2 linked regions of the Cricetulus griseus genome follow. The protein of the gene in region 2 interacts with the protein of the main gene of each other region in a pairwise test. Links are inferred from orthologs where the notes say so. Each region holds a gene or a part of one and is shown on either strand. Other genes may lie near its edges.

Evidence for each region.
Region 1: the proteins of Flii (region 2) and Lrrfip1 interact in binary tests that used the Homo sapiens proteins (3 or more experiments, as listed by UniProt). The link is inferred for Cricetulus griseus from reciprocal best matches to the Homo sapiens genes FLII and LRRFIP1.

Annotation. Positions count from the first base shown.
Region 1 is NC_048595.1:442,611,888-442,615,701, reverse strand, and holds part of Lrrfip1 (leucine-rich repeat flightless-interacting protein 1), read right to left. Parts: intron 3,298-3,814; coding exon 3,127-3,297; intron 1,672-3,126; coding exon 1,579-1,671; intron 224-1,578; exon of another isoform or gene 209-223; coding exon of another isoform or gene 35-208; intron 1-34.
Region 2 is NC_048600.1:74,709,944-74,714,219, forward strand, and holds the end of Flii (protein flightless-1 homolog), read right to left. Parts: intron 3,785-4,276; coding exon 3,680-3,784; intron 3,603-3,679; coding exon 3,411-3,602; intron 3,119-3,410; coding exon 2,930-3,118; intron 2,838-2,929; coding exon 2,698-2,837; intron 2,626-2,697; coding exon 2,385-2,625; intron 2,246-2,384; coding exon 2,091-2,245; intron 2,017-2,090; coding exon 1,956-2,016; intron 1,874-1,955; coding exon 1,745-1,873; intron 1,676-1,744; coding exon 1,569-1,675; intron 1,493-1,568; coding exon 1,387-1,492; intron 1,183-1,386; coding exon 1,117-1,182; intron 997-1,116; coding exon 862-996; 3' UTR 679-861; downstream 1-678. UniProt on the Homo sapiens protein: Is a regulator of actin polymerization, required for proper myofibril organization and regulation of the length of sarcomeric thin filaments. It also plays a role in the assembly of cardiomyocyte cell adhesion complexes.

The sequences.
Region 1 (3,814 bases), on a different chromosome or scaffold from region 2:
CTGGAACAGTTTTGCGAAGGCTTGAGACTCCTACCCCTATCTTTTTGTCTTTCCACTCTATCGTTTCCTGAAGATCAGAGATCTCCCTGATAAAACCCGCCTGTTTCTGCTGCAGCTGTCGGATCTCCTGAGGAGAGGAACAGACAGAAAGAAAGCAGACAAAGGGTTGAGCAGAGAGAAGAATTCGGTGCTGGATGACCACGACCATGGTGAGGGACGGGTGGGTGGGGAGGTCTCACCACCCCCAGGATTCAGCAGCATGATAGGATCTTCTTCTTCTTCTTTTTTTTTTTGTTCTACTCTCAGTGCCCAGAAGAAAACCAGCCTGGCTGACAGCTTACCTCAAAGCCATACTTATAGTCCCGATTAAGTTACCAACCCTGTACCAGCCCCATACTGTCATGCTTTGCTTAATTGTAGGACATCAGTCTGAGAAAGTGTAGGTAGTTGAGCCCACCATTTTGCAAACATCATAAATTACGGATAATAGTGATGACTGCAATATCACTATGTAATAAAATCTATGGGGCCACTGTCATATGTGTGTCGCACTGCTGATCAGAATGCTATGTGGCACACACTCCTGCCAGTTTCCTCGTAACAAGTGACAACAGCTTCCGCGAAAGTCACGTGACTATATTCTCTCAGCTCTGAGACTGTTTTGAAAGAATCTTCTGAGGAGAGGATCAATAACCTTTTCTTTCCCAGTTCCTAGAACATCCGTTCTCAACCTGGGGGTCATGACCATGGGAAAACACAGATTTCTGATGGTCTTAGGAACTGAGACACCACCCAGCATCAAATCTCAGTTATGAAGTAGCAACGAAGGTAAGTTTATGGTTGGGGGTTCCCAAGATCATCAGAGACGATGTGCTTTTTGATGGTGGTGATCCACAGGTTGAGAACCACCGTCTTAAGCCTTGCACACATTCTTGCTTTGTGTTTCTTCTTCACAAGTTCTAACCTCGACTGCTCCTACCACAGCATCTGACGCGACTCCCTCTCGTGGGTACCTTGTGATTGTGTCAGAGCCACACAGATGATCAACGACAACCTTCCATCTCAAGGTCCGTTTGACTCACCTTTGAAATCTCCTTTTGTCCCATATTTACTTTAAGGGACTTAGGATGTGGACTTCTCAGAGGTGGGCATTAATTTGTCACACCTCCCAACACACACACATGAACACCAGAGTTGAGAGTCTTCACCCACAGGAGGAACCCTCTGCTCAAGGGATGGAAAGTTAGCCTGATCCCTGGACTTTAACTTTAGGGATTGCTACGAGCTGACTCCCTGGCCTCCAAGGTGACAAGTGTTTGGAGATAGTATCTTCAGAAGCATAAAGGTTAAATGACGTCATGAGGGTGGGTCCCAGGTTGGATAGGATGAGTGTCCATATTGAAAGCATACATTCTCTGTGCCCAAGGAGTCAACACCGACCTGGACTTTGGTCTCCAGAACTGTGAGGAAATACACACTTGTTGTCAAGGCCACCAAGTTTGTGGTATATTTGTTATAATAACCTGGGCTAAAAGAGCAAGGAACCGACAGAAAGGGAAGAAGAAAGGAGCTGCCCACCTCAAGCATCTCTTCCCTTTGCCTCAGGGCTTCTTTTACTTCGGCAAACTGGAACTGCAGGATGCTGTGGGCATGCTTCTCCCTCTCGAACTCCTGTGGGTGACGAGCACAGTACTGAGGCTGCGGTTCAGTGGCGTGTTTCTGTCACAGGTTCATGTTCTCATGAGCCACGTTTCCCACACGACAAACAACCCTTTACTACGTCATCACCATTTCCAAGGGGCACACGACACAAACTCATTTCTCTGCCCTCCATAGAGGACGATCAGACAGTTTCCTCTAAAGTTAATCCTCAGATTGTGTGCAGTTGACAAGTATTTCCCAAACCTCTCTTGATAAGATGTGTTCCAGGAGCCAGGTGGTGGTGGCACACGCCTTTAATCCCAGCACCTAGGTTGGCCTCAAACTCACAGAGATTCGCCGGCCTCAGCTCCCTGAGTGCTGAGATTAAAGGCGTGCACCACCACCGAGCCGCTATATACATGCTTTTTCATGGTTGTTTTATTTTCATGCAAAATACCAACATTCTAGTAAAACTCTCTAGTTTACACATTGAAACTATGCATTTCAAATTATTCAGAGAAAAGCACAGATGTCTGAGTTTTATATGTATATATGTAAATGTGTGTGTGCATAGGTTTGTGGAAGCCAGAAGTTTACCTTGGGTGTCATTCTTCAGGAGCTGTCATCCTTGAGTTTTGTTTTTCTTTTTAAGATTGATTTTATTATTCTTACTTATGTATATGTGTATGGGTCTTTGCACATATGTGCAGATGCCCACAGAGGCCACAGCCATCAGATCCCTGGAGCTATTGTTACAGGTATTGGAGAGCCACAAGAGTGCTGGGAACCAAACATGCCCCCCCCCCCCACCCCAGACAGCATGCACTCCTCTGCACTGGGCCATCTTTCCAGCCCTGACCTTGGTTTTTGAGAAAGGGTTTCTTCTGGTCAGAAGCTGGCTGATTCAGTTAGTCTGGCTACTCAGTAAGCACCAGAGACCACCTGTCTCTGCCTCTCCAGCTGGGATTACAAGCACATGCCACCACAGATGCTGAGGACTGACCTAAGGTCTGATGCAGCAAATGCTTTGCAGAGTAAGTTACCTCCCCTGCCCATGGGATTGTTTTGTTTGGCAATGGAGTCCTGTTAAGTCAGTCTCAGACTTGCAATTCTCCTGCCTCAGCCTCCTACATGCTGGAATCATAGCTATTGCCACCACGTATGACAAAGACACAGTATTCTAAATCTCGGACTCTGGGCTTCCTGGACAAGTGGAGAATCACTGTTTAAAAAGCAGTTTGGAGAGACAGCTCAGCAGTTAAGTGCATATACTGCTTATGTAGAAAGCCGGGGTTCAATTTTTAGCACCCACATCAAGCATCTCACAACTGCCTGTAACTCCAGCTCTAGGGGATCCTACACCCTCCTCTGGCCTCTGCAAGCTAGTGTACACCCCTCCCCCATAGTTAGCAAAAATAAAAATCCTTAAAAAATATAAGGATTTACACAGCTCCCCCTAGCATTCCTGAGCAGGGTGGTACTTACCTTGTTCTTCTCCTCATACTGTCTCTGGGACTCGGCCAGCTGCTCTTCCAGCTCCAGCAGCATGTCCTTCAGTGTGTCTACCTGGTACATGAAGTTGGTCTTCTCGTTGTCTAGCTGGGCATTGGAGACCATGGCCTTCTTGTACTTCTCCTCAACTTCGGCCAGCGAGTCCTGAAGAAATGAGGCCATCATTTCAAAACCGCAAAAAGGAAAACAAGCTGAGATTAAGCCAGAGTTCTTTTCCAATCTCAGCCTTTGTTTCTTAGATTAGAAGAGACACAGTGCCATTTTAAATGCACAGAGCCCACCTTTCAATGTCCCTTCCACTCAGATAAGTAATTTTTCCGCTGTGGGGGGAGAGCAACTGTAGCCTGTGGCTTGCCTGTGGGGAATTATGTTAACTAGATTAACTGAGGCGGGAAGGCCCACCCTAAATGTGGGCCATCCCTGAACTGGGCCATCCCTGAGCCTTGCATAGAAATAAGAAAGGGAACACCAGCCAGCCCTCATGACTCTGCTTGTGGACTACACAGGCAACGTGACCAGCTCCCTCTCGTTCTTGCCCCCAGGACTCCCTTCCATGATAGACTATATCCTTCATCTGTGAACCAAAATAAACCACTTCTCCTTTAAGTTGCCTTTGTCATGGCATTTTGTAGCAGCAGCAGGAAAAGTAGCTAGCAGTGAT
Region 2 (4,276 bases):
GGGTGGTAGGTCCTGCCTGTTGAGCCAGCACATGGAGCTTATGTGCCTACCATATCCTGCTATGGACCCAACCTAGCTGGAACCTGGAGCTATCTGGACCTTGGTAGCTAGTGCCTCTGCAACCTACATTGGGCATAGATACTACTCCTATCCTGTTACTTGGTTCCCTCCTAGATCCCCAGCAAGCCCTTCCTCAGGCTGTCATTAAAGGGCCTGCCTGCCCGCCCTGCACAGATTGGTATGGCCTGGGTTTGCTCTCCCTAGCCATCACCATCTGCTTATCCCAGCTCACTGTCACCTTGCCTAGCTCCTTAACATTGAACCCACACTTGTTAACCTGTGGGATCCAGTCTCACTGATGCTGGGCCCTAAAGACACCCCCAGCTTGAAGGTCAGCTGGAGGGAGTGTGCCAGGATCCTCTGTCTTGCACTCCATACTGTCCTTTATTTCTCCTCAAGCAGAGTATTTTTCTAATGCCTGGACTACGCTGGCCAGTAATTTCTAAAGCAGTTTTGGTACTTGCTTCTGGCCTGTGTGTATGCTCATGTGACTGGAAATTGCGAGGCACCGTAACTGGAGTCAGTTGGGTGTGTGCATGTGTGTGGGGTGGTGAGGATGGGCTTCCCTGTAGACTCCACCTTGGGCTTTCTGTCTTTTTTTAAAAATTAGTTTTAATATTAAAAGTACTGATTTTTTAATATTGAAAATAAAAGCATTTAATATCTTTTAAACTACGTCTGCTGCACACATGTGGACACGCTGGTGGGGCTTGCAGGATGTGGGCAAGAGTGGTGGGTAGCTGAAACATGTGCTGGGAGGCCTCTTCTTCCTCACTGGAGTCTCAGGTCATAGATAACTGCTTAGGCTGGGGCTTGGCGGAAGGTGCTCCAGGCATGGAAGCAGCGGGTAAAAGCCCGCTGTTCATTGCCTTTGCGGACCAGGCGCAGGCGGCGTGGCCGCTCATGTTCTTTAGAGCGTGTGTGCTGGATGTATACCTGGTAAGGAAAACAGTGGGCCCAGGTAGTCCTCCGAGTCCTGCTGGACTGCCCAGGATGAGGGAGGGGGCAGGTGGTTCCTGAAGTCATGGGCTGGCTTTAGTGCTGTCCCTTTCTTACCTGGCAGGCCTTCAGACTCAGTTTGATCTCCACTTGACTTGTCTGGGTCCCAACCCACATGTAGACCTGAGGATACAGTGGAGGAAATGGTCACATGGGTGTCTTGGCCTTTTTGGTGTTTTACAGTGCTAAAAACTGAACCTGGGGTCTTTGTATATGCTACTCAAGTGCTCCGCATGCGGCTGGTGGGAATGCTTCCCTCTGGACCGTCTGTTTCCATCTACAACTCCTTACCCAATGGGCAGGGTCTGAGGTGGGGGAATGTCTTACTTCCTGGCCATTGTCTAGCAACATGATGTCATCATCTGCCAGGTCATCTTGGCAAAAGTCAGAGCATTTCTCAGTCACTGCGAAGTAGCCCTTCTCATTGGAACACCTGAAGGGCAATGGTTAAGGTGAAGGTAAGCAAGTGTCAGCACTAAAGAAGCTAGAGGAGGGGTCAGGGCACTCACCTGAAGAGCCTTGTGTGCTTCATGTACTCTGCATCATCATCATAGGGTTTCTGTGCACCAATGCCTACCCAGAAGAAGTTCTCTGGCTCCTCACCTTCATTGATGACCTGTGGAGAAGGGTGTTAGCCAGGACTGTCCTCTGCTCTCATCTTCCTGCCTGCCCCCACCTCTGTTACCTGTTTGCTGTAGGAAGCATCAAACATGCTGTTGAGGATGTCTTCTGCCAGCTTGGCTTCATCAGGGTCTGATGCCCGGCCCACCCAGGCATACACAATGCCTTGGTTGTCCTCACTTTCAAAGGGGACCTGTGGTGTACATAGGGCTTGGGTTAGGTCTAGATTATTTCTTGCCCACCACCCTGCTCTGCTGTCCTGCCCACAGCCTCACCTTGAGGATGAAGCAGAACTCAGAGTTGAGAAGGCTGGAGTCTGTGTTGATCTGGATGCACCTAGGGAATAGGGGGTGGTCAGCAATGTTACCCCCATCATGGAATCCTGCCCTTTCCCCATTCTAGGTACCTACCGGGTGCAGAGGGCACTGCCATTGGTGCGGATCTGATAGAGGCTCGGCTGAAGAGTACCCTGGCCCGCCTTCCTCTTGCCCCGGTGGATGATGAACTTTCTTTTGAAATGGGACAGGAACTTGGGGTTCTCCTGCTGCTGTGTCATACGTACTACCTGGGGATCGGAAGTGCTGGGTAGTTTCCTAAACCCTACCTACCTTTCAAGGGTCAAGCCTCCTCAGGTCTGGTTTGATCACACTACCATCCCAACCATAGGCTATGGGGCACAGCTCAGGGCTTGTAGGAGGGCATACCTCCAGCTTGCCAGGGAATAGGCTCTCAAACTTCTTCTGAAGACTGAAGGTGAAGGTGAGCCAGCCCATGTTAGAGGCCTCCCGGCCCTGCCAGAAGTAAACGATGCACTGAAAATCTTCCTCTGGCTGCTTCTCCTCTGCCTCAGCTTCTGCTTCCTCCCCTTCTGTGCCCTGGACCGAGGCCTTCCCCTCCTTGACTTCCGTCTTCTCTTCCTCCTCATACTCCACAGGCACCCAGTACCTGTGATTTAGACAATGGTGAGCAGGGGTTGCATAGGGAAGAGGACAAGAGGGTAAAGTATTATTATGGCACCTGCAGAGGAAGACATAGCAGTCCTGTGTGTAGAAGTGGCCAAACTCTTCCTCCGGCAGTCGAGTGAACTTCCTGCCCTCCAATACGAAGCCTTCCATGCCATCCAGGTCCTCATTCCATTCCTCCATCAGTTGCTCTGCCTGTCACCCCATCCCCAGGTGAGGTCTCAACACCATGCTGAGCAAAGCCCCCTTACCCCTCACACCTCCCCCTCACAAAGGCTCCATCCCACCTCAGCCAGTGCCATTGGTGGCTGCCGTGGCAGGAAGAGTGCAGTGAGGTCAGCCTTCATCTGGTCTTTCTTCTCAGTGTCACGCTTTACTTTCCCAGAGAGCCCCTGGCCCTGCAGCACAGCCTCTGCATTTCGAGTGTAGTCTACTGTCAACACATCGTCCCAATTTTTGAACTTAGCCTTGAACACCTGTGGAGAATGGTATAATGCCATAACTGGGGAGAGGTACTGCAAAGTTAAGGTTGGGGCTGAGGGATTCAAGCAAGGTTTGGAAAAGCTGGTCAGAGGTCAACTGGGTGGGGTCTAAACAAGAGCTGGAAACAGCCTGGAAAGGTGGAGCCTAGCAAAAGAAGTGGAGACAGGCTACAGAGTGGATGGTTCTGCAAACAAGGTGGATTTGGACCCACCTTTGCAGCACAGTAGTGCCAGTAGGCCAGCAGAGTGTGCAATGGAAAGCAAGCCTCTGGGTGTGGGGGTATACCTGAGCCTCGGTGCCTTCCAGGCTGCGGCTGACCACTGCATGGCGTGGCCGGTGCAGCATCCCACACAGCTCCTGACCTAGTTTGAGTGCAGCAGCACGCACTAGTCTTGGGGACTTGCGGCCAAGCCAGATGAATACATCAGACCAGCAGTCCAGGATGTACACACATCGTGTGTCCAGCAGGCTCTGCAGCTGTAGGACAAGGGGCTGGAGGTCAACACCTGGCCAACATAGGAGACAGAACCCGTGCACGCCTCCTACCAACTCACCAGTCTCATTCCTGGCATTAGTTCCACCTTGGGCCGTTTTTTATGTTCCACTGACAGCTTGTAGTTGATCTGGGGAAGCTCCAAGTAGCCCAGGCCCAGGCCCACCTGGGAGGAGAAGGAGATAGGTATAGCAGACCCCACCACATTTGCTCTGATTTGGGGCCTGGCTCCCCACCTTGCTATTTGGACTTGCTTCCCTTCAAACTGAACTACATTTTAAAGAGCTCCTAGCAATGGGTCTAGTGTTCATTGGGCTTTTTTCCTAGTGCAGGGAGCAGTTGTAGGGTTTTGCCTACACCAGGCAAGTGCTCTACTATAGAGTCCTATTCCAAGCCAGTGGAAGGGCATTTAACTTTATTACTATTTTTAAGTAGGCATATTGTGCCTGTATATATGTGCATTGCATATATCCTTGGTGCTTATGGAGGGAGGCCAGAAGGCATATTGAATCTCCTATAACCAGAGCTGCCATGTGGGGTCCTGGGACTTGAACCCAGGTCCTTTGGAAGTACAAGTGCTTTTAGCCACTAGGCCATCTCTGCAGCCCTTGAAGGGCTTGTTGGTTTTTTTTTTTTTTTTTTTTTCTTTTTGAGACAG